3 linked regions of the Drosophila melanogaster genome follow. The protein of the gene in region 1 interacts with the protein of each later gene in a pairwise test. Each region holds a gene or a part of one and is shown in the gene's direction. Other genes may lie near its edges.

The links.
Region 2: the proteins of tai (region 1) and Met interact in a two-hybrid assay, tested with the Drosophila melanogaster proteins (one study listed by BioGRID).
Region 3: the proteins of tai (region 1) and gce interact in a two-hybrid assay, tested with the Drosophila melanogaster proteins (one study listed by BioGRID).

What each region holds. Positions count from the first base shown.
Region 1 is NT_033779.5:9,165,134-9,169,864, forward strand, and holds the start of tai (taiman), read left to right. Parts: upstream 1-1,644; 5' UTR 1,645-2,305; intron 2,306-4,731. Other genes in the region: CG13108 (uncharacterized protein), read left to right, coding at 1-87; CG9586 (uncharacterized protein), read right to left, coding at 467-739, 810-1,031, 1,090-1,251.
Region 2 is NC_004354.4:11,614,067-11,621,833, forward strand, and holds Met (Methoprene-tolerant), read left to right. Parts: upstream 1-2,057; 5' UTR 2,058-2,801; coding exon 2,802-4,094; intron 4,095-4,163; coding exon 4,164-5,021; 3' UTR 5,022-7,214; downstream 7,215-7,767. Other genes in the region: CG1703 (uncharacterized protein), read left to right, coding at 1-889; RPA3 (replication protein A3), read right to left, coding at 1,279-1,380, 1,452-1,688.
Region 3 is NC_004354.4:15,295,983-15,300,818, forward strand, and holds the start of gce (germ cell-expressed bHLH-PAS), read left to right. Parts: upstream 1-1,783; 5' UTR 1,784-1,954; intron 1,955-2,054; exon of another isoform or gene 2,055-2,235; intron 2,236-3,026; exon of another isoform or gene 3,027-3,601; intron 3,602-4,526; exon of another isoform or gene 4,527-4,640; intron 4,641-4,836. Other genes in the region: CG5877 (uncharacterized protein), read left to right, coding at 1-571.

The sequences.
Region 1 (4,731 bases):
TCCGTGGAACTACAATCAGAGCGAAATAAGAAAACGACATCGGACAAAGAAGATACTTTGGAGGCGGAGGAGGATAAGCAAAATTAAGCTGATTCTTAAAAAAAAAACAACTACTAATTATACACAAAACTAACATTTTCATTAGTATTTACAACTAGTTGGCCAAGTTAGGGTTAAACAACAAATTTCCTTGTAACAGCTATGTGAAAACAGCATTAAATTTAATTTAGAAAATTAAAGAAACTAAGAAAAAAAAAGGAAATCAAAAGGAAAACATTTGAAAATATCAAATTAAAATCTTGGCGTTTCAATTTTAATACATTTATATTCAACAGTTCGGTAGATCTCTTCAAAGTTTACTTCGCTTTAGGCAAACATGCAAACATTCAAGCGAAATGCACTTTGTACAGATTTGTTGTTTGTTGTTTTTAATAGAAAGAGTCTAAAAATATTCGCTTGGGGACGGTTATCGACGCCGTTCGCCTTTGACGGTTTTGCGTTTCTCCTTCTTTTCCTCGCGCAGTTGCTTTTGCTTTTCCCGATCCTCTTTGTCCTTTTGCTTTTTGGCCGCACTATCCATTCGGGCCTGCTCCCGCTTTTCCTTGGCTAGCGCCTGGACATCCGATTTGTTGGTATTCTTGGTGAGCGTTCCACTGTCATCCTCGCTTTCCGCCTCGGAATTCTCGTCGTCCTCGTTGGCAACGGCAGTCTGCAAAAAGATTGGCATTGTCATTAGATACTAGATACTTCTACTTTAAAGCTAGTAATAGATATCTGGAATCAGCAGCTTGGCCAGCATGGATAGCAACCTGGGAGTATTGAGCTAGAATCTGCTGCTTGATGCGACGCTCCTCTTCGGTGTATTCACGCTCCTTGTTTACGGCGGGTTGCAGCTTCTGTTGCTCCAGCAACTTGGCCAACTGGGCATTCACATCGATATCCAGACCTTTTTTCGGCGGATCATCGGCGCTGGGATGGCTCTGTAGCCACTTTTGTAGTATGGTGGCCACCAGTTCGTCAATGTTGGCGGACTGCAAAGATCACGGACCATAATTTATGTAGGCAATGATATTACTAACCATAACTTACACCTGTTTCGCTGAGAATTCCCTCGAGAGCCTCGGTTTTTTCATCTGTCGTTTCGTCGCCCTCCAAAATTCCAATAATATACGAACCGAAAACGTTCTCGTCGGTGTTCAATTTGCGCAGCTGCTCGTTGAGCCAGCTCTGGAAGTCATCCGTGGCGCTCATGGTTACTCGGTATTTGATTTAAATATCATGTATAGAGGATTTTATTTGCGGAATAAACTCTGGCAGTGACAAATCAGCCGCAAAAGGCAACAAAAAAATTTGTGGAGCATGTGGCGCAGTGTTGGTGAGCGTTGACAGCGGAACAGCTGCTGCAGTAGCACTGCCAACTGACTGGAAAAAGAAAGTTTAACAGAAAATACAATCATTTTACTGAAATAGAATTTTTAGAAATAGAATATTATATATATTAGGTAAATTCACAAGTTTATTAATTGGTCTTTCTATTTTAATAATTATTATTTACATTAATATTTTCCAAACTTGTTGCTGGCAACACTGACACCTGAACACTACTGTTAGCCAACTGTTAACTACCAGCGAACAGCTGTTGCCGCAGTGTTGGTAAATACCCGCACACCTTTTAGTTGTTTGCCGATTAAAAAATTACGCTTTTTGTTTGAAAACGAAATATTAACTGCTGTGCTATTGAAACTCTGTCAGAATTAAAAGATATTCTATCTGGCCTGCCATCTCTTATTGTCATACAACAAGAAGTCTTGTGACACAGCTAAAGGCGTGAAATGGATCAATTAAACTTATAAACAAATTGTTTGTTTCTTTTGACTGAAATACTTGTACGGTTTTGTGCGTAAATGTGCGCTCGTGTGTGTGTGTGTGTTACCTATGCGTTCGTGTGTGTTTGGTGATTTTCTGATAACTCACATCGCAGCAAACAGCGAAAGCAAAAGCAACAATAACAAATTGCAGCAACAACGTCACACGTCTGCGACACCTGCGTCGCTGTCGCCAAAGTTGTGTTGTTATTTTTACTGTTGCTGCTGTCGCCGCTGTCGTCGCCATCGGCTTTTGTTTATTTGTTGTTGCGTCGCGTCGTAAAGAAGGAAAAGCGCCCACACACACACACAACACACACACAATCGCGCGTGTGCCGTTGGCAACAAGTGGAATATATACAAACGAAATTCATACAACCCCATGTTAGTGCGTGATTTACAAGAGGCAGAGAGAAATCCCTTCGATAAGTTAACCTGAGGTTAGTGATATCCATCGGAAAATACATACATATGTACAATCATACATATGTATGTATGTATGCCAGTTGTGGCAGGTCTGCGATTTCATAAATTGATTGATTGTCAAAATAAGACGTGCTAATTGATAACGATATCATATATAAAACCATCTCCTAAGAATATTTTTTTTCGAAAATAAGTAAAATTAGTTATTGCCTTAGGATTTACATATATTTATGTGTTAGGCATGTGTTATAAATTATTCATTAATTACAAAAACAAATAAATTATATAAAATTAAGATGATACATTTTTGAGATACCTTTATGTTTGCGCACTTTTGAAGTGCTTTGGAGTTGCCTGTGTGATCTCTGGCTCCCCTCCTGCCAACATTGAGTTGGCTCCTGCCACATTCTTGGCATCCTGCCGCCCACAAGGACCTCCGCCCACTTTGCTCCTTCGCCTATCGACTTGCGGCGGCCGCAACCCGAGTTGTGTTGACTGTTTTTTTTTAATGAGCCAGGTTTGTTTATGGGCTTGTTAATGTGAGTGTTTTACACTTTCCAATCCGTGTGCATATTCATGCGAGCGCTCCTCGGCGAACGCCTCTGTGTTTGTGGTATGCATAATAAAGGCCATTAAAATTAAGTAATTGACGCTGGCAGCGAGCAGACGACACCAGAAGGGGGAGGGGGGAAGGCAGGCGGTCTTGACTGATTCAGCGGCAGCGGAAAGGTGAAAACCGGAAAAATGAAAAGCACGGCAAAACGAAGAATGTTTCGGCCTAAAATGTACATACATATATAAAACCTCAGCTTTTCGTCATCTATCTCGCTCTGTTGCGTACAATTCGCGCTCTCTCTTTCCCAAAATGCAGAATTCGTCATTAAATTGGAGACCCATTTAAGTTTCAGCGAGCTCATAAAATTCACACGTTTCATTGCTTGCGATTTTGCAATAAAGCACAGTGGGATCAAATACCATAAAACTAAAAAAAAAAATTAATATAAAATGTTTGAACCGTTAATGCTGTTATGTTTGTATATAATATACAAAAATACTCATTACTTTCCTTGCCTTTCATGTTTTTGAATTCATTGTTATTTCCTTTTTAGGCCCACTGTGCGCATTCTTCTTTTGGGGGTTCCTTGTGTTTTACGGCTCTTTTCAACTGCCAGTTGGTAGTTGGTGGACACGCCCTCGCCCATAAGAATTTCTTGTTCGCTGGTTTATGGCAGATTTGCTCGATGGCTCTGCTTTTGGCCCGCTGCAGTGGGCCAAAGTCATGGCCCTAATTGTGGGAATGAATTAAATTGATTTCCATATCATAAACCCAGGCTTGCGGCCAGGCAATCAAATGGAAAACGCAACAAGTCAATGGCAGAAACAAAAAAAAAACAATTTGGCAGGGAATTTATATGTGAAGCTGCACTTCACATAGCAAAATCAATTCAACAACGTGGGGTGGTTGGTCTTTTCGAGGATGCCACGGGGCGCTTATCCTGCAAAGTGCTTTCCATTCTTGTGGCTCGTGGAATTTTCCAGGACCACCCACAGTGAAAGCGAGAGCTAATTCCGTATGGAGTGGCGATGGCTGCTTGGTGGGGCGTGTGGCTGTGATCTCTATAATACCATTGCTTATTTAGTTTGCCGCTGGTTCCGTGTTGTGTGACTGAAAACATATGCGTGCTTTTTGTATTTCGAATTTAAGTATTTAGTATTTGCTGCATGCGCTTTAAATTAAGGTGAGCTATGGAAAAATGTGAAAATTTATCTGATCATTGAATTTTTAATAAGAAAAAAGAGGCGGCATGTATTGATGGAAACTGTACTGTATGCCATACAAATTTGTTATTATTTCTTTATTATTCAAGTGAGTTGCTAACACTTATTCAAAATGAAGTTCTTCTCATTTTGCTGCAATTCCTCAAAAGATTAACTTAAATAACAACCATGAAGTATATATATTCTTATTTCACGAGAATTCATTAAAATATCTTTCCAAACTATAGAGCTGTGATAAGGGTTTTCTGTTATCTTAAGGAATCTATCTGTTACATTCCATTTGATTTTCGTCTCCTGAAGGGTTCATCTCTTCCAGTTGGGATGCTAAGTAGCTCCCTGGGTTTCCAAACCCAGCCCATTTGCCCCGGAGGACATCGCCTGGCACTCAGTAATGTGATTGGAAAGGCTTCGTCGGCTTGGGCTGCCAGTTGGATACCACGATGGTAGGTGGTAGGGGGGATCACCATGGGCGGTTGATGGATTCCATTCACTGTGCCCTCTCGTATCCACTTAACTATTTCGTTGGATTGGGGCACGTTGTTGTTGCTACAGCAGCTGCCGCTGCCGCTGACATTTTCATTTTGCTACAGTAGGGCTACTGTTTTTCCCGCTGTCGCTTTTCCTTGTGCGCTGTATCATTGCCATGTCGTTGACAAATTGT
Region 2 (7,767 bases), on another chromosome or scaffold:
GCGCGAGCTGAAGGCCCACGGTCAGTCGAAGAAGGCAGCGGAAAAGAAGCAGAAGGAATCGCTCACACGCAAGCAGGAGAAGAACAAGTCTAAGCAGCAGAAACAGGACGAGGATGAGGGACCTCAGGAGCTGTTGGCCAGGCCCAAGGAATATATTGTCAAGTTCCGCTTCCCGGAGCCATCGCAGCTCCAGCCACCCATTCTGGGTGTCCACAATGTCACCTTCGCCTTTCCGAGCCAGAAACCGCTGTTCATCAAGGTTGACTTTGGCATTGATCTAACTAGTCGAGTGGCCATCGTGGGACCCAATGGTGTGGGCAAATCAACCTTCCTCAAGCTGCTGCTCGGTGAATTGGAACCGCAGGAGGGTGAGCAGCGCAAGAATCACCGACTTCATGTGGGCCGCTTCGATCAGCACTCAGGTGAACATCTCACGGCAGAGGAATCGGCTGCAGAGTACCTGCAGCGTCTGTTCAATCTGCCCCACGAAAAGGCGCGTAAGGCATTGGGTTCCTTTGGTTTGGTCAGTCATGCACACACCATCAAGATGAAGGATCTGTCCGGTGGTCAGAAAGCCCGTGTGGCCCTCGCTGAGCTATGCTTGAGTGCGCCGGATGTACTAATTCTCGATGAGCCTACGAACAATCTGGACATCGAGAGTATCGACGCCTTGGCGGAGGCAATCAACGAGTACGAGGGTGGCGTGATCATCGTCTCCCACGACGAGCGTTTGATCCGTGAAACAGGTTGCACTCTCTACGTAATTGAGGATCAGACGATCAACGAGATTGTTGGAGAGTTCGATGACTACAGAAAGGAGGTTCTCGATTCGCTCGGCGAGGTGGTCAACAATCCTAGCGTGGTGGCCAATGCGGCTGTGCTGCAATAACCCTCAAGTTGCATACGGACTTGGAGTCCATGCAACTGGTCATCACTCGTCAGCTGGCTCGCCCTATGTTAATTGTTCAACTGTTGAATTGATTATCTGCTAGTTAGTCTTTTTATACCAACATATATACAATAACAAATTGTGGAAGTAAATGTTATTACACAAGAGCGTTTAAGAATGTGTTGTTTATGTTATTAAATTGTGGGTATTAAGTATTTGTTGTAGAATATACGTGGAACTGGTTAAAACACCCGTAAATTGTACTCGTAATATATGTAGATAGATGATTTATATTTAAAGTTAATGCCAGCTCTGAGTGTTCTCCAAAAAAATGGAAAAAATAACATTAGAGTACATAATATTAATTCTTAGATATAATTGTGGACATCCTAGCCGCTGCGATAGAAGGCCTTGACATTGTTAATCAGGTGGCTCAATCCATTATAGCCATCCTTATCGAAGTCGATGTTCTCGCCGCCAAACTCGATGACCTGCAAATGAATAGTGGGCAAATGGTTTGGGATCATTGAAATAAATGACTCCATGGATTGAGTGCACCCACCTCCTTGGCCCTGAGGGTGTCCGCACCATGGGGCACTCCAATGACCTCGACCCAGGCCCCTTCGGCGGCGCCCAGCTCACCCGGCAGATTGATCTTTAGCTTGTGGTTGTCTGTGGAACTGGCCAGCAAAGTGGATCCCGCGACGCTCTCCACGCGAACCATTATGCTCACGGTTTGGCCGGAAAACTGCTTCAGCATGCCGCCGTTGATAATCGAGCGTGGATCAAAGGCATCCATAATAACTCCTCAGTTAATAACGTTCAAAAAACAGCCAATTTCAGCAGAAAATGAAATGCCGTAAACAAGAAAGAGCGCCAATAGTTATCGAGCGTGCTAATCGATAATAAAATTGCATGACGTCTGCTATCGAAATTATTCGAATTTTGTAGCAAAAATATTTATGGATTTATTGTAACATCAAAAGTTATTACATTATTACTGTGGACTTATGTATTATAATAAGAATTAATAAAAATAATTTATAATAGAATTATAAAAAGACCTGATAGATTACATGTATTACAACAATGTTATCGACAGCGAACAAGATGTTCGAATCTTTCTGATATTTTGTCCGGTGTGAACGTGCGAATTTTAGTACGACAACCAGTTACATCGATGTATCGATAGTTTTTAGACTGGCCAATGTTTATTGTTATAAAATAAATGTTACAAATAAACAATTAATCACTTAGTATAAACAAAAATAAGTGCAAGCAGCAAGTGCGTTGTTAAAACGACCGCCGCCCTCCGAATTTCCTTATTGCGGGCATTAAATCGCAACAACAACAACGCCACCAGCAACAGCAACAACAATAAGCAGGAGATTCAGATTCGCAACGCAATCAAAACGTAAAAAAAAAACGAAAAATAAAAAACTACAAGGCGAAACGCATAAATAAATAGGGAAGCAAATAATAGTAATAATAAGACTAAAAGCAAGTGGAAAAGTACGAAAGCGAAAAGAGAAAACATATGTACGTTGCGTGAGAGTGACGTGTGTGTGTGTGTGTCAGTGAGCGAAGGAGAGTGAGCGAGAGAGGGGAGGCGAGCAAAAACAAAAACAACAGCACAGCATAAGCGAGACCTTGAAAACTTTAAAAGCAGCAAAAAAAACAAGACAACAGCCAAAAATAAGAAACTAAAAGCTGCAAAAGTAATAAAAAATATATTTTAGCCGAAAAATTTCCATAATAACAATTCTAGAAGTGCGGAGCGTACACCCTGTTATGGAGAGTGACGATTTTCATTTACCGCAAGGCGCCAATTAAAGGGGAAAATCCATAAATCGAGGATTACAAGTGGAAAACAAGGAGGCAGTAACTCCAGAAAACGCCCAAAAAGTCCAAAATGGCAGCACCAGAGACGGGCAACACGGGCTCCACAGGATCCGCTGGCTCGACAGGATCGGGATCGGGATCGGGATCGGGAAGTGGGAGCTCCTCAGATCCAGCGAATGGACGGGAGGCCCGTAACCTTGCCGAAAAACAGCGACGGGATAAGCTTAATGCCAGCATCCAGGAGCTGGCCACCATGGTACCACATGCAGCCGAATCCTCCCGTCGCCTGGACAAAACCGCCGTCCTTAGATTCGCCACCCATGGCCTGAGACTTCAGTATGTCTTTGGCAAGTCCGCTTCCAGACGTCGCAAGAAAACCGGCCTCAAGGGAACGGGTATGTCTGCCTCACCTGTCGGAGATCTACCCAATCCCAGTCTGCATCTAACGGACACTCTAATGCAACTGCTGGACTGCTGCTTCCTCACCCTAACCTGCAGTGGCCAAATCGTTTTGGTATCCACCAGCGTGGAGCAGCTATTGGGTCACTGTCAGTCCGATTTGTATGGCCAGAATCTACTGCAGATCACGCATCCCGATGATCAGGATCTGTTAAGACAGCAGCTAATACCCAGGGATATAGAGACCCTGTTCTATCAGCATCAGCACCACCAGCAGCAGGGGCACAATCCCCAGCAGCACTCCACTTCCACGTCGGCCTCAACTTCGGGCAGTGATCTGGAGGAGGAGGAAATGGAGACGGAGGAACACCGTCTGGGTCGGCAGCAGGGAGAGGCGGACGATGACGAGGATCACCCGTACAACCGACGAACACCCAGCCCGCGGAGAATGGCCCATTTGGCGACCATTGATGACCGACTACGCATGGATCGGCGCTGCTTTACCGTCCGCTTGGCTAGGGCTTCCACGCGAGCGGAGGCCACGCGTCATTACGAGCGGGTTAAGATCGATGGCTGCTTTCGTCGCAGTGACTCCTCCTTAACCGGAGGTGCCGCTGCCAACTATCCGATTGTCTCCCAGCTGATACGACGCTCGAGAAACAACAATATGCTGGCTGCTGCTGCAGCAGTGGCAGCAGAAGCGGCGACGGTGCCGCCCCAGCACGATGCCATTGCCCAGGCGGCGCTGCACGGGATTAGCGGCAATGATATTGTCCTGGTGGCCATGGCCAGGGTGCTGCGAGAGGAACGGCCGCCTGAGGAGACGGAGGGTACAGTGGGCTTGACCATTTACAGACAGCCAGAACCCTATCAGTTGGAGTACCATACGAGGCATCTAATCGACGGCAGCATCATCGACTGTGATCAAAGGATTGGTCTGGTGGCGGGATATATGAAGGATGAGGTGGGTATATTAACATCATCTCTCTGAACTGCTTACGACAACTAATCGTGTACTCTCCACTCGAAACAGGTGCGCAACCTTAGTCCCTTCTGTTTCATGCACCTGGACGACGTTCGCTGGGTGATTGTGGCCCTTCGACAAATGTACGATTGCAACAGTGACTACGGCGAGAGCTGCTACCGTCTGCTGTCCCGCAACGGGCGCTTCATTTACCTGCACACCAAGGGATTTCTGGAGGTCGACCGTGGCAGTAATAAGGTGCATTCCTTTCTGTGCGTCAACACGCTGCTCGATGAGGAGGCGGGCCGGCAAAAGGTGCAGGAGATGAAGGAGAAATTCTCGACAATCATCAAGGCGGAGATGCCCACGCAGAGCAGCAGTCCCGATTTGCCCGCCTCGCAGGCACCGCAGCAACTTGAGAGAATTGTCCTCTATCTAATAGAGAACCTACAGAAGAGTGTGGATTCAGCAGAGACGGTTGGCGGCCAGGGCATGGAAAGCCTAATGGACGATGGCTACAGTTCGCCAGCAAATACCTTAACTCTCGAGGAGTTAGCTCCCTCGCCCACGCCCGCCTTGGCCTTGGTGCCGCCGGCTCCCTCATCGGTCAAGAGCTCCATCTCCAAGTCGGTGAGTGTGGTCAATGTGACGGCGGCCAGAAAGTTTCAGCAGGAGCATCAGAAGCAGCGTGAACGTGACCGTGAGCAGCTTAAGGAGCGCACCAACTCCACGCAGGGCGTGATCCGGCAACTGAGCAGCTGCCTAAGCGAGGCGGAAACGGCATCCTGTATCCTATCACCAGCCAGTAGCTTGAGTGCCAGCGAAGCACCGGACACGCCCGATCCGCACAGCAACACATCACCGCCACCGTCGCTCCACACACGTCCCAGTGTCCTGCATCGAACCCTGACCAGCACGCTGCGATGACGGGCTGATGGAACCTGGTTTGCCTTCTAATTGGGTGTGTGGAAATGGACGTCATTGGTAGCTCACGTGCCCACAAACGAATTAGTATCGGTAATATAATCCTGGCCAATCGCAAAATGAAAACCCAAAATGTATCAGAAAAAAACGAGCATTATTCAAATAGTTTAAAAATTCAGCCAAAAAACTTAAAAACGAAAAAAAAGAGCGTGGGTTGAAAAACCTTTTGTTTTCATATTCACATTTCCAAGCTTTGAGCAATCAAACAATTTTAATTTTCAGTATACACATATGTATAATGAGTTGGCTTTACAAAAGCTATTAACAAATCAAGCAATTGTGTAATTTAATATGAGACTTTCCGTGATTTTCGCTTTCTACGTACTTTTCGACTTCAATTGATCTATAGGGTTTCCGTATTAAAAACGAAATTAACGTGGTTTCATTTGATGAAAATGCAATATGAGCTCGCATTTATTTTGATATTATGACAGTAATAATGATCTGATCACGATAATCGTTTTCTCAAAACATAAGCGATACATTTTGGGTACATTTGGCCATTACTGTTTCTGTGTGTGATTTCGGTATAAAATAGTAGTTTGATTACATGTTATATTGATGAATGGCGATCGGTGGGTGCTGCTAAATGCGTTCCATTATCAATAATTTTCGTTATGTAATTACGTTTAATTTGTAAATATGTATGAGTGCGAGCGTGAGTGAGTTTGTGATCGTGTCAGCATGGGTGTGAATGAACATTAGATCAGTGCTCGGATTTGGTTTTAGTTGAAATTTAAACCCCATTTCCCCGATTTCCCAGTTATCACCTTCCGCCCCAAAACACCAGTGTAAAAAGAGTACAAAAAAAAAAAGAAAAGAAAATAGAAAAACAAACAAACAATTATATATTTATTTCGCCCTAAGTCTAGAACGTGCTAAACACAACTCATTAATAGTTAAACAAACGGATGTTGCAATCGATGGAAATTAAACGCTCGCTTTTAGTTTTGCCGTCTCGCTCGAAGAAAGAAAGAGGACTACATATGTACAGTCAAACTAATCCAAGTCAAACTCTTCAGTCTCAGAATTGGAGACTTTATTAAAGGTTTTTTATTTTATGAAGAATAGCATATTATTTTTATATATATATATTTATGTATATATATTTATATCACAAATCTCCTTCGATATCCCTTTGTAATCTATAAAAACACTTCCAGGCGCAGCTTTATTTTTCAACAGTTTTAATTTTGGGAACTTTACAAAGCATATAAGCATACCCCAAATCCATATCCTTATAAACTTTGTAGTTATTACAAATGTGTTCAAAATTAAAAAAAAAGTTTGTCATCCAAAATCCAATCCGCTAAATACAATATAATCATTTTAATTGATCTATGTTACACTTCTATAATGTCTACTGGACAAAATATGATTAAGTTGAAATTTCAAAGTGTTTTTGAAGTTCGTACTAGCGAAGTTTGGCTGTAGTTCAATACTCACAGAAAGGGAGCGAGACATATTCCCATCTCGCTCCGACCTGTTATCAAAGCCTTTGCCATTGTCCTTGGCGTTGCGTTCTTATCACCGGCGTATCGGAGGGAATATATGATTTTTTTTTCGGCCAAGTGGTTCTAGTGGTAAATATGAGGCGGTGGGTGGTTTCGGGGGGTTTGGGGGAACGGCGGTTGGTGATGGGCGCAGAGAAGGCGGGAGGCGGGGGGGAACACGTTTCGTTATTTTTTGTTTTATAGCGAAATTCCTCTAGCTATAAATGTATGCATACATATATGCTATTAACTTTTCGTTTAGCTCAATTTTTTGTTTGTATTTTTAATTATAACTCGGTTTGTCTAGTGTGTAATTAAATTAAAAGTCCAATGCTAATTCCCCAGCGAATCGTTCAGTGTTTGTTCAAACGAGTTGTGCTCTTTAAACACTTTTGGCTTATCCTTTCATTTAATTTTTGTTTGTTTTCCTTGCGTTGTTATATGTCCAAATAAAAATGAAAGTTTGAATTGTTTTTTTTTAGTAATTTAGTTTTAACTGTAATGTCAAATGTCAAGAGGTATACTCTGTATAAGAATAATAATGTGTAATGTAATTTTTAGAACTTGCTAATCTCTAGCAATTAAAACATAGCCTGTAATTAACAATAATTAATTATAATAACCAGTAACAGTTCATGCAAATGAAACCTTAATAAATAATAAATTATATAAAAGAAGATGGAAGTGTTTTCAATCAATGAAGTTACTTCCTATTTTCAGGAGTTGGAATGTTACACTTTTTTATAAGCTGATTTGAAATGCGCGCCACATTATATCTGCCTTGCGCGCACGCATTGCAGCCGAATAACGGCGAATTAACTCCCCTCAGAGGTGAGTTTGAACTATCGATTATAATCGATTGCATTCGGAAACAAAAAACACCTTGAGTTTGGTCAGATCGGTTTTGCGCGGGATAAATAATAAAATATTAAATGTTTTCTTTGTTAACATTTCGCTGTGCATGCTGTCTGGGTACACATATACAGCCTATCGCCTTGGCTCACTAAGCCCATGGCTCAGATGTCCATTTGGACTAACATTTTGTGTGAGTAATTGAATAATAAGAATTACGGAGCTCGGACTTGTAATGGCCGAAGTACTACTGCCGCAATGCTTGGTTCACGTTAAAAAGAATCAAGTGCAACAAATTTAATTGTATTTAACTATTTTATAACCGCGCAGCAAAGTAATGGTTA
Region 3 (4,836 bases), on another chromosome or scaffold:
CAAAAAGATCAAGCTACATGAACTGCTCGAGAATGGACTCGAAGAGTTTCCACGAAATATGGTGTTTCTACAGCTGTGGGCCAGCTTAAAATCGATTATGTGGCACAAGCAGCGTAGCCGGCTCATACGCACCAAAGCCGGCATCGCTTCACTGGCGCACTTGGTCGTTGCGATTCACAATCGCTTTGGAATCGTAGATACCAACGATAAGTTTTCAAAGGAAGCCACAAGGAAGATGGTGTGCAATCGTTTGGTCAGCATTGTCGAGACTTTTCTCCCGACCAATTTAGATCGTTTGGATGTGGAGGAAGAGCATTATCGCATACTGCGCAGGAACTCCATCTATTGGCGCTTGTACATGATTGCCCTATCCAAAACGAATGCCTCGTTTAGGCGCAGCAAAGAAGTCCTTATAATGGCCATGGACGAGTGTCCCTGGGACAAGTCACTACTGATGGAAGGCGCCAAGGTTTTGCCAGTGAAACTAGCATCGCTACAGGACCTGATGACCGAAAAAGAGATTCGCATTTTCGCTATGCCCGAGGAAGTGGACGTCTTGAGGGGCTTTTAAGTCGCTTTGGTTTTATTCGTTTGTTTTGAGGTTATTTGCCATTCGGGCGACTCGATAAGTTCGCATCATAAATATATTTATTTCTTCAAACAATCTAGTTCTGAAGTTTGCTTCAACTTTAAGTTAACTGGCGAAATTGCGATAAGCTGTTTGCAGTTATATGCGTACATGCATATTTTACTACATATATCCTAAATCGCTTATCAGAATTGGCTCACTAACAAATTCAGAATTAGCGATTTTGCTACTCAAAAATACTCGCCGTTCGATTATGTTAAAAAAAAATTCCAACACTTTATCGCTCGTTGCTGTGCAAGGAAACCAGAGTCGCATATCGAATGTCGGAGATTAGTCCAACTTCATCTTCTGGCCAATCCGCTCCCCCCGAATCCAGCATTTTCTTGTGTTTATTATTTTGATTGTGTTTATCGCAAGATAACCGAACAAAACTCATAAGCCAAAACAGCGCCGAAAGAATCACTGCGCACCTGAGGTCGCAATTGTAGCACCTGGAAGCTGTGAGACGAACTAAATACAACATATTTGTTATGTCATTTTCATATCGCTGAAATGAAACATATATTGCAAATAGCTTATTTTTATATTACTGAAATTTAAAATATATTGCAAATAGTTTATGGTTCTGTTTATTTAAATTTATTAAATCATTTAAATATGCAAAAGAAATTAAGAAGTTTTCTACATTTGTAAATTACAAATAAAAATATTTATATTCCTATTTAGCTATGAGTAGTTTTAACAGCTAACTTGTTAAATATTGATAAATTTAGATTTAATATGTACACATTAAAGGATTTGTATTAAATGACATGAATGATATTGACGATAAAATGATTGATATTTTGTATGCGATCTGTTTGTGTGACCGCAAGTGTGGTGGCCAAGTTGCGTGAGCGCGAGCGAGACGGCTGTGGCTGAGTGTTGACTCGTCTCGAATGTTGCGTATGCGCCCTGTCTGCCCAGCCACTTAAGACTCCTGTGCGTTACTGTTGCTCTTTGGAAAAGCGTGGAAATCGGGAGAGGAAACGCTGTGATTGGGCAGAGGGGTAGTGGGGATGAAAAGCTCCGCTCGCCGAAACGCATCGAAAGCTGTCTGAGCGCGAGAGTCCTGGCTGCTGTCCATTCGCACGTCCGTCTGTTCGCCTGCTCGTCCACCCATCCGACATCTTTGGACCGGGCTTCATCGATGGCAGTCGGTCGGCATCTGTCCAAGTCCCACGACGCGTTGTCGCTCCGCATCGGCCGTTGCTGCAGTGGAAGCGGCCCGTTTGGCCAAGTGGCGTCTCCGTAGTCCCTAGTCTCATGGCGGCGGAGTCTCCTCTCAAGGTTTCCCAGGCACTCCAGACCGTTTCCAGTTCCTAGGTTAGTGCTAGAGCTCGGAATATCTGGCCAGTATCAGGCCAATCCATATATAATAATATATACATACATATATATATATATATGTATATATCGCTATAACGGCCGAGTGTTTTTTGTTCCATTTCGTTTCGATAGCGAGTGTAATTTTTTTGAGAGTGCTCCCCCGTTCTAAGTCGTGTGTGTGTGTGTGTTTCTCTTCCTGTTTGGGTGTGTGTGCTGCGATGTCTCTGTGTTGGTGTAGAGCAGAAGCAAGAAGAAGCAGCATTGTGTAAGACGCCAGCGTCAAGTTCGTAGACTAAACACCAACCTTCTTTTGCGGCTCTACTCTAGCAAAGGGGAAAAGCTTTTCAGAGAGGAAACTCAGAAAATGAGAAAACGATAGAGACAGAGAGCGCAGAGAGTCAATGTGCACTGCTAGAAAATGTGGGGAAAACCAGTTTGCGAGCATGCGATTCGTGACAGTTTGCATATTTTTTAAGCATCTTTATCTCAGATTTCCAAATCTATAACTCAAATATTACTAAATTTATTACAGATAAGTGTAATCAAAATAATTGATAGCTTATTATTATTATTATATAATGCTTCCTTGGAGATTGTTATAAACAGAGGAGATTCAAGTGATTTTTTGTGCAAAACTCTAGTTTTAGCAACGTTTTCTTTTTTCCCGGTGTACTGGGTGAGCATGAACTCGCCGAGGGTTTCCCGGCCGGAAACCTTAGTCAAGGTCTCGCCAGCTTTCCAACGCAGGTTGTTGCTGCGCTCTCGCTCACACTCGCTGCTGGTGGGCGTTTGGCCAATCGCCATCTCTGTCGCACCGCTGTCGGTGACGAGCGAAGCTTTTATTGTATATTTCATCTTTCACGCTCTTTTCCCTGCCATTTCTGCTTCTTTGGGGCAGCGGCACCTAGAGCGGGAGCGGGAGCGGAGTGGAGCGTGAGTGGAGCGTTAGCTTTCCGGGCAGCTGATTCGCGCTCGGCTCGGCTCTCCGCTGCCGTTGCCGCTGCCGCCGTCGCTGCTCCGCTCGTCGTCTGGCTGATTAGTTTAGTTTGTGATTTCAATATATGTAATTAATTTTTGTTTCTGTAGCGGTACGGACGGACGCGTCGCGACGTTCGCTTGGTCCGCTTGGTGTTCGTTCGGTTCGCTTGGAGCTTGGAGTTCGAATTCGGTTCGCCAGCCGTCGCTGTTTCGTATTTATTATTATTTTTTATTTTTTTTTTATGAGTATATTCGTATTTCGCATTTGTATCTGAATGTTTCTTTGGCTCTGCGTACGTGTGTGAGCGATTGTGCGAGTTTCCTTCTCTTTCAACTTGCCTTTTTCGTGGTCGCCGCCGCTGCTAAAATGCAAAGAACACGCTCGAGCAACGTAAATGGCGCCGCGTTAACGAATGGAATTGGATTATCAAACAGTGCCCCCCAGAGCCCCATATAAAAGTTGAAAAAAAAAATAAAATAAAAAACAAAACGAGGAATTAAAACCGAAATAAAACAGGCAACAAACAAACTTCGTTTTGACAACCCCCCCGCCTTTTTTTTTGTTTGCGTGTGTGTGTTTTGTGCCAGTGCTTGTGCTATAGTGTAAAAAAAAAAGTTTGAAACAACAAACCAAAAACGCGCTCGAGGGGAAATATTATCAAAAAGGTAGATGGCGGTGACCTTAAATCATATAGTAATTATAGGGCTATCTTCCAGTTGGACAGTTTCAACAACCAAACGTTGGTGTATGAAAAACTCCAATTATCCTATTATACGACTAGTATGTATATTCATAAGCCCAATGGGGCTTAAATACCGCTGTTGGTGTGTTGTTGAACAAGCTTGAACAAGTATTTTTTTGTGCTCTACGTTGGTGCATTGGAGTGTAGATATAGTTTCAACAACCGACCAACCACCAAGCGCAAAATTAATATTGTTGAAACGTTCGAGCTTAGCAGCTGTTGGTGAACCGTTGTTGGTGTATTGTTGAGTGCGCGGCATTAGATGCTGTTGATCAGAGTACTTTTGGTACTCTTGTGATCCTGTTTCATTTCCGTTTTTGTTCACTGATTTCGATGTTTTCTTGTGCAGAGAATTGGTTTTATATGGTGTAGCCTACGAGTACGAGCATATGTGCTGAAATCAGCGGCGCGTGCGCGCATTTTTGCGCGATCGAAACCCGAGAACGATTCAGTTTTTTGTTGAGTTGGGAAAAGTTTCGATTTACGAAAAACATTCCCACTGTCTGTGTTTGTCATCCTTCGAAAATCTGCTTAGCCAACATTAACGTGTTTGCCCATCCACAAACACATACAAATGCATACAAAAAAAAAACTATCACATTCGCATCGACACAATCAATGAGGCAAGACAAATAAAATTAACATATTAATGAATTTCCAGTTTCTTTTTTCGACTTATTTAATTTTTTAATAAGAAAAGAAAAAACAGAAAAACAAAACAAGCGTGAAGAACTCGAGTCTCTCGACTTCGGCATACCCAAAAAGCACGAAAGCGGGAAGTGTGATTATGGCCAAAATTCCAGATCTGCGCTTTAATGGGTGTGCGAAGATCAACGGATTCCAATGAATATAGATGTTATATGGCGGAGCACTTTATGATGGGTTCTTAGCCTCCCTTGAACTTGTGGGCAGCATGGAAAGAGTGCGATGGAACTGAGCTTTGGATGATAATAGCAATAAAAGTAAATATAAATAGCCCAGCATCAGGTATTTGTTGGCAACAATTTTTCAATGATTTACCAGTTCCGAGTTCCGATCAATAAAAGTGTTTTTTTTCTGTTTTTTTTTTTTTTGCTATTCGGTTTGGTTTTTTCTTTCCAATTTTTGTTTTTTGTTCGGCTGCTTTGCTGCTGCTCTCAAGGTTTTCTGTGTGCTGTT